4 linked regions of the Saccharomyces cerevisiae S288C genome follow. Changing the gene in region 2 together with the main gene of any one other region gives a genetic interaction. Each region holds a gene or a part of one and is shown on either strand. Other genes may lie near its edges.

Evidence for each region.
Region 1: mutations in REX2 (region 2) and NBP35 together harm fitness more than expected from each alone (negative genetic interaction), as found in Saccharomyces cerevisiae (2 studies listed by BioGRID).
Region 3: mutations in REX2 (region 2) and MYG1 together harm fitness more than expected from each alone (negative genetic interaction), as found in Saccharomyces cerevisiae (3 studies listed by BioGRID).
Region 4: mutations in REX2 (region 2) and EMI1 together harm fitness more than expected from each alone (negative genetic interaction), as found in Saccharomyces cerevisiae (2 studies listed by BioGRID).

What each region holds. Positions count from the first base shown.
Region 1 is NC_001139.9:341,556-344,792, reverse strand, and holds NBP35 (Fe-S cluster-binding ATPase), read left to right. Parts: upstream 1-1,750; coding exon 1,751-2,737; downstream 2,738-3,237. Other genes in the region: MF(ALPHA)2 (Mf(Alpha)2p), read left to right, coding at 1-2; LIF1 (Lif1p), read right to left, coding at 209-1,474; nucleocytoplasmic transporter NUP145, read right to left, coding at 2,934-3,237. UniProt on the Saccharomyces cerevisiae protein: Component of the cytosolic iron-sulfur (Fe/S) protein assembly (CIA) machinery. Required for maturation of extramitochondrial Fe-S proteins.
Region 2 is NC_001144.5:259,238-262,316, forward strand, and holds REX2 (Rex2p), read right to left. Parts: upstream 1,311-3,079; coding exon 501-1,310; downstream 1-500. Other genes in the region: glycine hydroxymethyltransferase SHM2, read right to left, coding at 1-164; FRS1 (phenylalanine--tRNA ligase subunit beta), read left to right, coding at 1,742-3,079. UniProt on the Saccharomyces cerevisiae protein: 3'-to-5' exoribonuclease specific for small oligoribonucleotides.
Region 3 is NC_001137.3:482,825-486,168, forward strand, and holds MYG1 (Myg1p), read right to left. Parts: upstream 1,518-3,344; coding exon 501-1,517; downstream 1-500. Other genes in the region: GTPase-activating protein BEM2, read right to left, coding at 1-24; Golgi transport complex subunit COG3, read left to right, coding at 1,964-3,344.
Region 4 is NC_001136.10:1,470,000-1,472,675, forward strand, and holds EMI1 (Emi1p), read right to left. Parts: upstream 1,065-2,676; coding exon 501-1,064; downstream 1-500. Other genes in the region: SDH7 (Sdh7p), read left to right, coding at 18-419; dithiol glutaredoxin GRX2, read left to right, coding at 1,018-1,449; YDR514C (uncharacterized protein), read right to left, coding at 1,549-2,676. UniProt on the Saccharomyces cerevisiae protein: Involved in sporulation. Required for the full activation of the early meiotic inducer IME1.

The sequences.
Region 1 (3,237 bases), on a different chromosome or scaffold from region 2:
GAAAAATGACCCTAAACTACTTCTAAACCCTCTCGATTTCTTTCACGTTCATACAACACCTAGTTTTATTTATTTTCTTTTCAATCTGAGTAGTTGAGTTTTCGATCACTCACATAGAACTATTTTTTGCCATTTAAATAAAGTATTCTCTCAAATGATGCGATACTATAATACTCTTTGCCATATATTACATTCATTCATAAATAGGCTATGTTTCTATATCCGTTTCCGATTCTGTCTGCAAGCAAGGTTCCCTATCATTACCGGATTGTTCACTATGGTTGGAGCTCTTCTTTTCCCCTGCACTTGCATCAGTCTCAGATTCAGAACCAGAAATGTCTCCGTAATCTTCATCCGATCTTCCTGCTGATATTTGAATACCATTGTCTTCTAAAGACACTAAATGTTTTTGAACATCACTGCTACTATCAGATTCAAAACTTATTGATTGTGTGTCATCTCCAAAAGAGGTAATATCATCGTACTTTTCACTGAGTTTATCTTTAGCAGTAATAATTGGCCTTTTAGAAAGTCCGAAAAATTGAAAGTCATCAAAATCGTCGTCTTCCATTTTGATCACGGATTGATTAGATATTTTTCTATTAGCTCTCCTCCGACTTGTGTCTTTCAACTTCTTTTGTAAATTTTGAGGCTCTACTACCGTCTTTCTTCGTTTCATTCTTTTTCCTGGAGAGTTTAACTCAGAAATTGGCTTTTGCACTTCCGTATTAATAAGCGCAGAATCTAAAACATCATCGTCAGACAATTTGATATTATTTTGTCGCAGAATCTCATGAAGCTCTCTTATTTTCTTCTTCTTCTCATTCAACAAGGTTACCATCATTGCTCTGGTTCTTTCATCACGTGTTTCTAAAAGCTTATCCAATAGCTCCCTTTCCCGAGCCAGCTGTTCAACTCGATTTCTATTGCTAGAATCGCTCTCCTTTATATTCCGGTAAGAATCGTTAACACAACAGATATCTTTATAGAGTTTATCTGCCATTTCAAATAAATCAATCTCTCCCTTTTTGACTGGATGCAAGGTAAGTTCAGCGATTTTTCTTATGATCGCCGATGACTCCAACTCCATAACTACTTTCCATACCTCATCATCTTGCATTCTGCACGTCCATTTTGTGAATACGACTTTTTCGTCTAACGATGCAATGTACACTTTGTGACCAGTTAACATTTTGAGTAGTTCATACCACACATATTTCTTAGACTCTTCATCGATATTTTCTCCCGTAAAGATTCGCAAATCATTGATTCCAAAACTGCTTTTGGAAAAAATTCCTGTACCTTCACTTACCAACATTTTCTCTATTCTAAGCCCTGAAAGACTGTTCTCATCTAATGTTTCCAACATAGCGCCATCTTCAATCTGAATCTTACAGAGGCCACGCTCATCTTCTTCATTTTGTTCTTCATTAACCACAGGGATACAGCTAATGAACTCCGTCAGCTGGGACATAGCACCCTACATAAATAAGTCATCCAATGCACAATTCTCTCAGTTCTATGCATTGACACGTCGAAAACTGCCGTTCATCTTATTATTCTTTAATATGGCTTTTCAAAATACGCTTCCGGGTACTTTTTCGGATTCATTAATGGTGTAATTAGTAATGCGTAGAAATATTTTGTATATAATAATAAATAACATGTTTGTCCAACAACTCGTAGGCTAGGCTAAACGTGAAGTCTTTCTGTTTTTGAGAACAACAGTATACATAAGTGATATCCAAGAATGACTGAGATACTACCACATGTAAACGACGAAGTGCTACCAGCAGAGTATGAACTTAATCAGCCGGAACCAGAACACTGTCCTGGTCCAGAATCAGACATGGCAGGTAAGTCCGATGCTTGTGGTGGCTGCGCCAATAAAGAAATATGTGAAAGTCTTCCGAAAGGCCCTGATCCAGATATTCCATTGATCACAGATAACTTGTCAGGAATAGAACATAAAATATTGGTTTTATCAGGCAAAGGTGGCGTAGGCAAGTCGACATTTGCCGCAATGCTAAGTTGGGCACTTTCAGCTGACGAAGATTTACAAGTAGGTGCCATGGATTTAGATATATGTGGACCTTCTTTGCCACATATGTTAGGCTGCATTAAAGAAACCGTCCATGAATCGAACTCCGGTTGGACACCTGTCTATGTGACTGATAATTTAGCCACCATGTCTATTCAATATATGCTTCCAGAAGACGATTCCGCCATTATATGGAGGGGTTCAAAAAAGAATTTATTGATAAAAAAATTTTTAAAGGATGTTGATTGGGATAAACTCGATTACTTGGTAATCGACACACCGCCCGGAACATCTGATGAGCACATTTCAATAAACAAGTATATGAGAGAATCTGGCATAGATGGTGCCCTTGTGGTCACCACACCTCAGGAAGTAGCTTTATTAGATGTACGGAAAGAGATAGATTTCTGTAAGAAGGCTGGTATCAATATTCTTGGACTAGTGGAAAATATGAGCGGATTTGTATGTCCAAATTGCAAAGGAGAGTCCCAAATATTCAAGGCTACCACAGGTGGAGGTGAAGCACTTTGTAAGGAATTGGGCATCAAATTTTTGGGGTCTGTTCCGTTAGATCCGAGGATTGGCAAGAGTTGTGACATGGGTGAAAGTTTCCTGGATAACTATCCTGACAGCCCAGCTTCGAGTGCTGTACTTAACGTTGTGGAGGCTCTGCGAGATGCTGTGGGGGATGTATAGTATATTTTATCAAAAAGAATAAAAGGAAGTGCATTAGAGGTCAAATCGTTTTATAATATAAATATCATTACCTTTAAATCTTAGACCTACTGAAGAACACTTTTACCATATATAATGCTACTAATTACTCCAAAAGCGTTAGCTTCAGTCCATGTTTTACTATTTTTCTTTTTTTTAGAAATAAAAATAAAAAAACTTATATCTTATATGTACACTTCATTAAATCCTGGGCAAACTCACCCCTCAAGTATGCCTTTTCTGGCTGCCCTAGGGGGAGCTCAAGCAATTTGGCCTTCGAATCGCCTATTGAAGGATTGTTTTTCTCCAATATTTTTGATACAATCTCTTGGGACATAACATTACAACATGCGGCCACTTCACGACAGTGCTTATACTGATCATAAAATATCTTCATACCACTAATTAATGAATCGATAGTCTCCTGCGTTTCAACATTATCCAACACAAGCTTTAGATATACTTCAAATACGTTTATACTT
Region 2 (3,079 bases):
GCATCGAAAACGGAGGTTGAGGTGAAATTTTCAGAAGCAATCAAATCGATGGAGTGCTTTTGTCTTTCAATTTCATCCTTGATAATGGAGTCCACTTCAGGGTCGGTGTCCACCAAATGAGAGGTGATCAACTTATGATGAGCGTCGGATAGAGTGTAAGGCATGTTAAGGAGGATTCGGTTTAAGCTGTTATGCTTTGCTATGGGGTAGTATCTTTCGTAAAGGTTACACTAGAAGAAGGAAAGATTACTGAACGCAAACTAAGGGAAGCAAGTTCTGCATTATATATAAAACAAGATGAAGAAGACTCATGGTTCGGTCTAAGATGATTATGAATTTAAAAATTATACAGAGTAAAAAGCGAACATGAGAAACCCAAGAGATAGAGTCAAACCTTTATGGTCAAAGCAACCTGAAAGGGTCATTTCTCACCAGGAGTCATGTTTCGTGTGTGAAATATTTGAAAAATTTCACTTCTTTTTTCTTTTTTTTTTTCTACATTAAAAATCGGTGCGTTGTCTTTTCAAAGATGAGGTAGATGAAGATGGTGACTCCGGCTGTTCAGATCCGATTGACTCGACCGACTCTGTTTCCTGTGGTGGCTTCAAGTAGTTGTCCATGTACCATTGCAATTGAGCTATGCTCTCTTTGATATCACTATAAGCAGTGTGGGCAGCTTCTTTTTTTGGATTACGTGCTTGTAAAGCGGGATTGTGTCTGCGGGCAACTTCCATGATGCTACTGACGTCAACTATTCTGTAAAAGAGATGATCAATGACCTTGGGAAACTCGCGGACCATGAACAAGCGGTCCATATGTACACTATTGCCTGCCAAGACGCCAACGTTCTTGTCTGGGATGTAGCGCTGGATGTACTCGAGCAGCTCATCTTCTACCTGGGCCAAAGTCTTCTCACTTGCCAAAACTTTGGCGGTGAGACCGCTATTACCGTGGTGCTCAATACACCACTCGTTCATTTTGTTCATCACCTCGGGACCATAATGGATGACGCTCTCATAATGCGAGTCTCCTTGGCCATCGGCCGCTTTGACGGGTGCCAGGTGTCCATCGGTGATGATGCAGCAAATCTCGATAATTCTGTCATTCACGTGGTCTAAACCGGTCATCTCGCAGTCGATCCAGACCAAGGGTTTGAACAGCTTGGTTTTAAGTTCGGGTGTTTGCGCCATTGATTGCAGGTTTTGGATGGTTCGAGGACGTAAGTACTGTGAAACGGATCTTCTGTACAGCGAGAAGAGGTTTGGGCGAGTGCGAGCTACGATTCTTGCCGGAAACAACAACCACTTCATCTTGATCTCTTCTGTTTATTTGTGAAAGCTCCTTTTCTTTTTTTTCATTTTCTTTGCAAATCGAAAAGTTCACACTGATTTTTTATTAGTTCTTTTAAGTGCCCAACTTGACAGGAAAAAGAAACACCCCAAAGGGAATACCAGTGTATGTAAGGCTTGAATTATACGTATGAGCATGCGTTTGATGGTTGTCGTCAGAGCCAGTGCTCTGAGAGTGTCCCAGATGACTACAACCCTTGTATAAAAGTACATCTTCTTGATTATTTATCACGACACACGAGGTGACCGATTATTCAGAATCGGTACCAAAAAAGAAAGAAAATTGAAGGAAATGAAAAATTTTCAATGTATTTCTCGAAAGCCTGGAGTTGATCAAATGTTCAAAAAATAGGGCAGAATAGCATAACACACATCAATAACACCGAGCCAGCATGCCTACCGTCTCCGTGAACAAGCAGCAATTATTTGATCTTCTAGGCAAAAACTACACTTCCCAAGAGTTCGATGAATTATGTTTTGAATTCGGTATGGAAATGGACGAAGACACCACAGAGGAGGCCTTGAAAACCGGGGAGGAGCCGGAATTGAAGCTTGATATCAGTGCCAATCGTTACGATTTGCTTTGTATCGAAGGTATTTCACAGTCGCTGAACGAATACTTGGAACGTAAAGAAAGACCTGACTATAAATTAAGCAAGCCAACCACTAAGTTGATCATCGACAAATCAACGGAGCAAATTAGACCTTTTGCTACCGCTGCTGTATTGAGAAATATCAAGCTTAACGAAAAATCTTACGCTTCTTTTATTGCCTTGCAAGATAAATTACATGCCAATCTATGTAGAAACAGAAGCTTGGTTGCCATGGGTACTCACGATTTAGATTCAATTGAAGGTCCATTCCATTACAGAGCTCTACCACCAAAGGACATCAAGTTCGTACCATTGAATCAAACCCAAGAGTTTACTGGTGACAAATTGATCGAGTTTTATAAATCTCCAGAACAGAAAAACAACATAGGGAGATACGTTCACATTATTGAGGATTCTCCAGTCTTCCCAGTTATTATGGACAGCAAAGATCGTGTTTGCTCCCTGCCACCATTAATCAATAGTGAACATTCGAAGATCTCTGTGAACACCCGTAACATTTTGATTGATATAACCGCCACCGATAAGACCAAAGCCGAGATCGTTTTGAACATATTAACTACAATGTTCTCACGTTATTGTGACGAACCATTCACGGTTGAGCCTGTAGAAATTGTCTCTGAACACAATGGCCAATCCCGTTTGGCGCCAAACTTCAACGATAGAATTATGGATGTCTCCATTAAGTACATCAACTCCTGTCTTGGCCTAGATCAATCCGCTGATGAAATTGCTCATTGTCTAAAGAAGATGTCGTTGCATGCCGTTCAATCAAAGGAAGACAAGGACATCTTGCACGTTGACATTCCGGTAACTAGACCTGATATTTTGCACGCTTGTGATATAATGGAAGATGCCGCTGTCGGTTATGGTTTCAATAATTTGCCAAAGGGTGAGAAATTATCCAATGCCAACTTCATTGCCAAACCATTACCAATCAACAAGGTTTCTGATATTTTCAGAGTTGCATCCTCTCAAGCCACGTGGGTTGAGGTTTTACCATTGACCTTATGTTCGCACGATGAAAACTTTAAATTTCTAAGACAATCCGACAATGGTGATTTAGCTGTCAAATTGGCCAACCCAAAGACTTTGGAATACCAAGTTGTTAGAACCACT
Region 3 (3,344 bases), on a different chromosome or scaffold from region 2:
CTTAGACCAGAGAAGACCTTTCATTAGACTCCTGCTTCGTTATTTGTTTTTTTTGTGTCTATCCAGAAAAGGCACGACGACCGTGTGTTCTTTTAAACTGAAACGTTTGCTTGTTTGTTCTGTTGGAAAAAATGGGACTGATCTGCAGTCTCCTAACCAAAGAGGGAAAAAAAAGAAAGAAAATTGCGTATAGCGGGAACGGGAGAATACGAAATCTGTATATTAAAAATGAAAAAGAATGTTTGAGTTAGCAGACAGTACCAGTGGCTGCAACGTAGCTTGCTTCTTTTGTTTTTGTTTTTTGTGCAACAAGAGCCGTCTGATATCTTGTGTTCTCAGGTCATTTTCAAGAGCGTGTTTCACCGAGGGGAATATGTTTCAGGATTCGCGGCGGGAAGATTTTTGCTTGCATTAAAGATTTACTTACTATACAGAATAAATAGTGGAATTGTTAAATATTATTAAATAGATAAGGGACCTGACTGAGCGCTCGCTCCCGACTAGGCCAAAGACATCTTAGCCAGCTCATATACAGCCTCTTTGGACTTGGCACCTCCAATGAAACCTGCTGCATGAATGAAGATACATCCTGGCACACCGCTCTTGGTGCTCAGCTCTTCGTCTCTGAGGCCTCTTAATGGCTCCGGCAAACCTCTCCTAAACTGGAAGGAGGTGGAGTTGATTGGTACAGTAGATACCCTCCAGGCACCAGAAGAGTCTGTGAAGAGAACAAACTCGATTTGCTTTTCAATGTTCTTCTCTCTTTCCAGCTCGTATAGATGCTCCTTCCATGGACAGAATTGGGGCAAGACAATGATTTTGCCACTCTTATCAACATCCATTCTTTCATCAATGGCTTGCGCCACAAGGGCCTTGGCTGGCAACCACGATTGACCGTAGCCTCTTACCAATGTGACAAAGACCCCACCGATAAACTCACTTGCGCGAGCAAAGCATCTGTCAAAAGACTCATCGGAAGTGTCTTCGTTCCAGTTAGGATTCATACCTGAAATAATCCCGGGAATGCTGATGGCGTTATCCCTGAAATTCGGTTCCAAGTTGGAATCCTTAGGAATCGTGTACTTGCTAATACCGTTGTCGTTTGCATCCAGTGCCTCGACAAATTGTTTGTATACCTTGTCATAGAGCAGATCTAAATCAGAGCTGCTAACCTTGTTGTTCAAAATTGTTTTGATAATGTCACGACCGTAGTGTTTGAAGATCAGACCAGCACTTGAGAGCTTAGTCTTGTATTTCTCGTTGAAAGTTTCGAAAAATCCACGCTGGTGGTGGTCAAAAAATTTCACGCCGTCATACTGAGCTCCTACATCCACTAGAATGTCACTAGCCTCCCAGTCCTTGGGATTTCTTGATCTAACCAACTTAGCATCTTTAAATTCGGGTAGTAGCCTTAACATGTATACCGCCAACGACTCGTCCGCGTGAAAAGATCCGGAATGCGTGCATATTTGTTTGGACATTTTTGAATTTAGCTTTACTCTTTTTACGCTATTCATGCAGACTTTTTGGGCTGGGCTCTTCAATTCCACAGCTTTTCGATAGTATTAACACATCATTACTTTCTACGTTGACAGAAAATTTTCGTGATTTGCCGTTCCCATCGCTCGAAAAGAAAGTGAAAAACTGAAAAAAATAATAGAGATTTATCAATGAATACAGTAATCCAAAGACGAGAGAAGAGCAGGAAAATTCGTACTTATATTGCAACTTAATGGTGGGCTCAGATTTTTCGATGCTCTGCCTCGTAACTCTAAGTATCAGCTGCGGATGGATCATAAGTAGTATTAATATAGAATATAGAGGCGCAAATTGAGGTTACCCTGTATAACGGCAGTCGTTGCGTCCATTGTTATGTAAAGTCTTGGCTTTATAGACACACAATAAATACTCCCAGCATGAATTGTTTTACCCAATATTGCACGAATTATCGACACATCCAAAGATGGCGAGAAGTAGAAAGAATTCATTGGTTCGAGATATTGCGTCTCATCCGACTATACCAGAATCTCAGACCATAGTGGGTTTACTGGACGATTCGTACCTTTTTGATAAGCTAAAAAAGCTATCTTTGGCTGTGGAAAATTCTGACAGTCTGCAAAGAACTGATGTCTCAGAAGGTTGTTCAGAGGTTAATGGTTCTGAAGCTACGACTTCTGCGGATGTAAAAAAGACAAACAAGTATTTGTATTATACTACCTATTTGGACCAGTTAAACATTAAGATAGACGAGTATAAAGTTGTTCTGGATCAAACACGCCAGGTTAACGATCAATTGGATAGTTCCATCAAGAAATTTCGGAAAATCTCTCAGGATACTGGAGCTTTCATTGAGGAAACGAAGACGATCTATGAAAAGCAGTCTAAATTAAGCAATCTAACTGAGTCAATCCCTAAAGCTCTCCATTATTTTGAAGTTTTAGACCCTATAATGCGTCGCTTGAACCATGCCACTTCTCCCGCTATTGTTAAGAAGAGCTCCTTTACGACAATGTTGGCGACTATCGACGAGTCTTTACGTTTTTTGGATGAGAATAGTGACCTCAAGGATGCGGCAGCGTACAGAATCAAGTTCAAGCAATGCTTGATCAGAGCCTGTGAATTGATATCTCACTTTTTAACGAATCTGTTGAAACAAACAAATCAAGAAATTTTGGATAAAACCAAAAACAAAAATTCGTTAACTGGGTTGCCGTCGACTACAAGAGACGCCTTCTTGTACAGTAAATTCTATACCATAGCTGATACTTTCAAAATTCAGGTTTCGGAAATTGTTAAGAGAAGCAACGAAAAAGCCTACAACAAGTATCACGATGAACTGAATTCCATTCTTTACGAGTGTTTCAACCACTATTTCCAAACACGTTTAAGACTGCTAACTCCGGTCATTTGGTCACACATTGATGAAATTGTTGTTAAAGATAAGGACCAGGGCTTGGTCAAATTCATTCAAGACGGTAAGGTTTATTTTCAGCAGTTATGCGCGGACGAATACAAACTTTTCGTAGAATTTTTCCCTGAAAAGGAATGTCGTTTCAAGATTAATCAGTGGTTCTTACAGTTATGTGAACCCCTTTATGACTCCATTAGAGTCAGGGTTTTGAAAGAGACAGATATTTGTACTTTGTGTGACTCAGTGACTTTGTTTGCTCCATATTATGAATTTGAAGAAGGTTCAGAAGAATACGTGAAGCAGTTTACCGACATTCAGTATGATAAACTATTCGAACCGATTGTCCAAAAAGTGCAGGCTAGATTAATTTTAAGAGTGCAAATATATGTCCAACAAAATATTTTGAGCTATAGGCCCACTAGGGACGTTTTCA
Region 4 (2,676 bases), on a different chromosome or scaffold from region 2:
TCCCGTCTTCATTCACCATGAACAACAAGCTCATATATCGTTCGGTTAGATTTGCAACCCATAACAGCCAGCTTTTACTTCCACCTTTGGTTCTCTACAGAAGGATACTAAGGCAGCATAAGCTGCTACCTGGTCCCCAAAGGGAGATGGGTGACCAATACGTGCGAAACGAGTTCAAGTTGCACAAAGATATCGATAACCCGTTGCATATAGTCGGCTTTTTAGCTTCCTGGCAAGATTATCTCCACATGATTTCCAACGGTAAATGGAAAGATGCCACTTTATCTTCGGAAACCCTGGAGAAACTATCCCCTGAGCAAACAGTTCAACTGTATGAATTGATGAAGGAAACACAGAAACTTCACCAAGACAATGAAATAGAATCAAGTAAGGACGTGAAGCGGAACAACAAGGATTAGTGTTCGTCTTTTTATTGCGCTTGTAAATAAGAAATCCATATACTATATAGTACACATGCTAAAAAAAAAAAGCTAAAAATCTCACTTATTTGCAGTGGTCTCCCTCTCCTGCCATATAACCCCACTGGTATTTTCCAATGCCTTATTGTTGGAAACCTGATCTTTATACCATTCCTGCACTTTCACAGGGTCATTGCCGTGGATAATACAAAACTTGAATTTGGACACCTGCTTGTCACATGATGTAAAATCTCCATATCTGTAATAGCTTCTAAATTGCCCTCCAATCGAATAGCAACTCGTCAGTTGATCAAATGCCTCTCGGCAACTCATCGTTGTCGGATATTTTGTACTCATCCTTTCCTGTTTCTTCCTCAAGCTGCTCTCTTTTACCCTAATAGAACCATCGCCTCCCTCTTGATTTATGCTAATACCACATCCAATAGCAGAACTATTACTAAGATCCGATATTTCGGCCCCCTTCGCAAAGGGGCCCGCCGCACTTTCTTCATGAATTTTCATATAAAAAGTCCCAGGACGCCAAGAAAAGGTGCCCTCTTGATTAACGGACACTCCAACTACTGTTATATATTGTTTCATGGAGACCAATTTTTCCTTCGACTCGAATTTAATTGTTATTATCATTATCACGTTGTTTGCCACAAGAATTATTGCTAAAAGATTTTTATCTACTCCAAAAATGGTATCCCAGGAAACAGTTGCTCACGTAAAGGATCTGATTGGCCAAAAGGAAGTGTTTGTTGCAGCAAAGACATACTGCCCTTACTGTAAAGCTACTTTGTCTACCCTCTTCCAAGAATTGAACGTTCCCAAATCCAAGGCCCTTGTGTTGGAATTAGATGAAATGAGCAATGGCTCAGAGATTCAAGACGCTTTAGAAGAAATCTCGGGCCAAAAAACTGTACCTAACGTATACATCAATGGCAAGCACATTGGTGGTAACAGCGATTTGGAAACTTTGAAGAAAAATGGCAAGTTAGCTGAAATATTGAAGCCGGTATTTCAATAGTTTAAATTACGCTAATATCCCCTTCATAATATTTACATATATATATCTTTTATTATCTATATCTTAAATCACATATACCTACAAAACTTCTAGCTAGATTCACACAAGAGTACTTTTGAAGGCTGCGCGTGCATTTTGAAACCAATGAGACCCGCTAAATTCCGTCTGAGGTACAAGATCCCTCGGCTTCTTTCTTCCCTTATCATCAACTTTCGGTTTGCTATTATTGGCATTCATCACACTTAGCACGTACGACATTGGCAAAATTTTGGGTTCGTCCGCCTCACGCTTAAACCATTCTCTTATCCTATATCCCATTGTTTCTAAATCATCTGCCCCAATTTGCTTTCTAAAGTTATAATCTCCTAACTTCAGCATCAGGAGCAACGTGTAATATGCATCATTGCCTGCGTTATGTAAGAAGGCATGTGGCAAGTGAAAAAGCCTTAGTAGTTTACCTAAACTGCTACCCTTCTTGCCATAACACATGCTATAAATTTTCTCTGTGTCAAGCATCTTAACATGTTTTCTAACACCTTTGCTCTCCGTTGAGTCCTCCGGTTTGGTAAGTTCATTATCCAATTCAGGTACATGGACCCCAATTTTCTTCAGCCACTTAATATCCCCCGCTATAGCATGACCCACAAACGCTCTTTCCCAGGTTGTATCTTGGTCCGTCTCACATTTCATATAGAAATTAATCAACGACTGAATGAACTCTACACATTGTTCCAATGGTAATACAAGACTTTCTCCAAGTAAAAAGCAGTCTTTAAAGTCGCATACGAATTTCTTGTTTCTTAACGGTAACGCTTCAGCAACAATTAAATGATAACTTCTTATAATCGGCATCAAGGAATAAATGTTTTCTCTTGGATCATATATGGCGATGCCAATCTCTGTAACAATGTCTGTATCAAATTCAAATGCCTCTACATCGATGGCAAAACAAATTGTCTTGTTGGATGATAATAACTCAATAGTTTTACAGAGATACTTGAACTGAGACCCACCAGGTTCACAATTCATCACAGGTATATGTTCGTTTTTTACGTCCTGTACATCTGCTAAATATTGCTTTCTTAGATTTTTCTCCACATCGTCTTTAGATGCATCAGGTATACACCCGTTTTTCTCTATCCATTTCTTGTCAATTTCTTCCAGCTTCTTATCCAGTAATTCTGAACTTTTCTCATAGATGGACCGATAGTTTGTTTCCAATGCCTT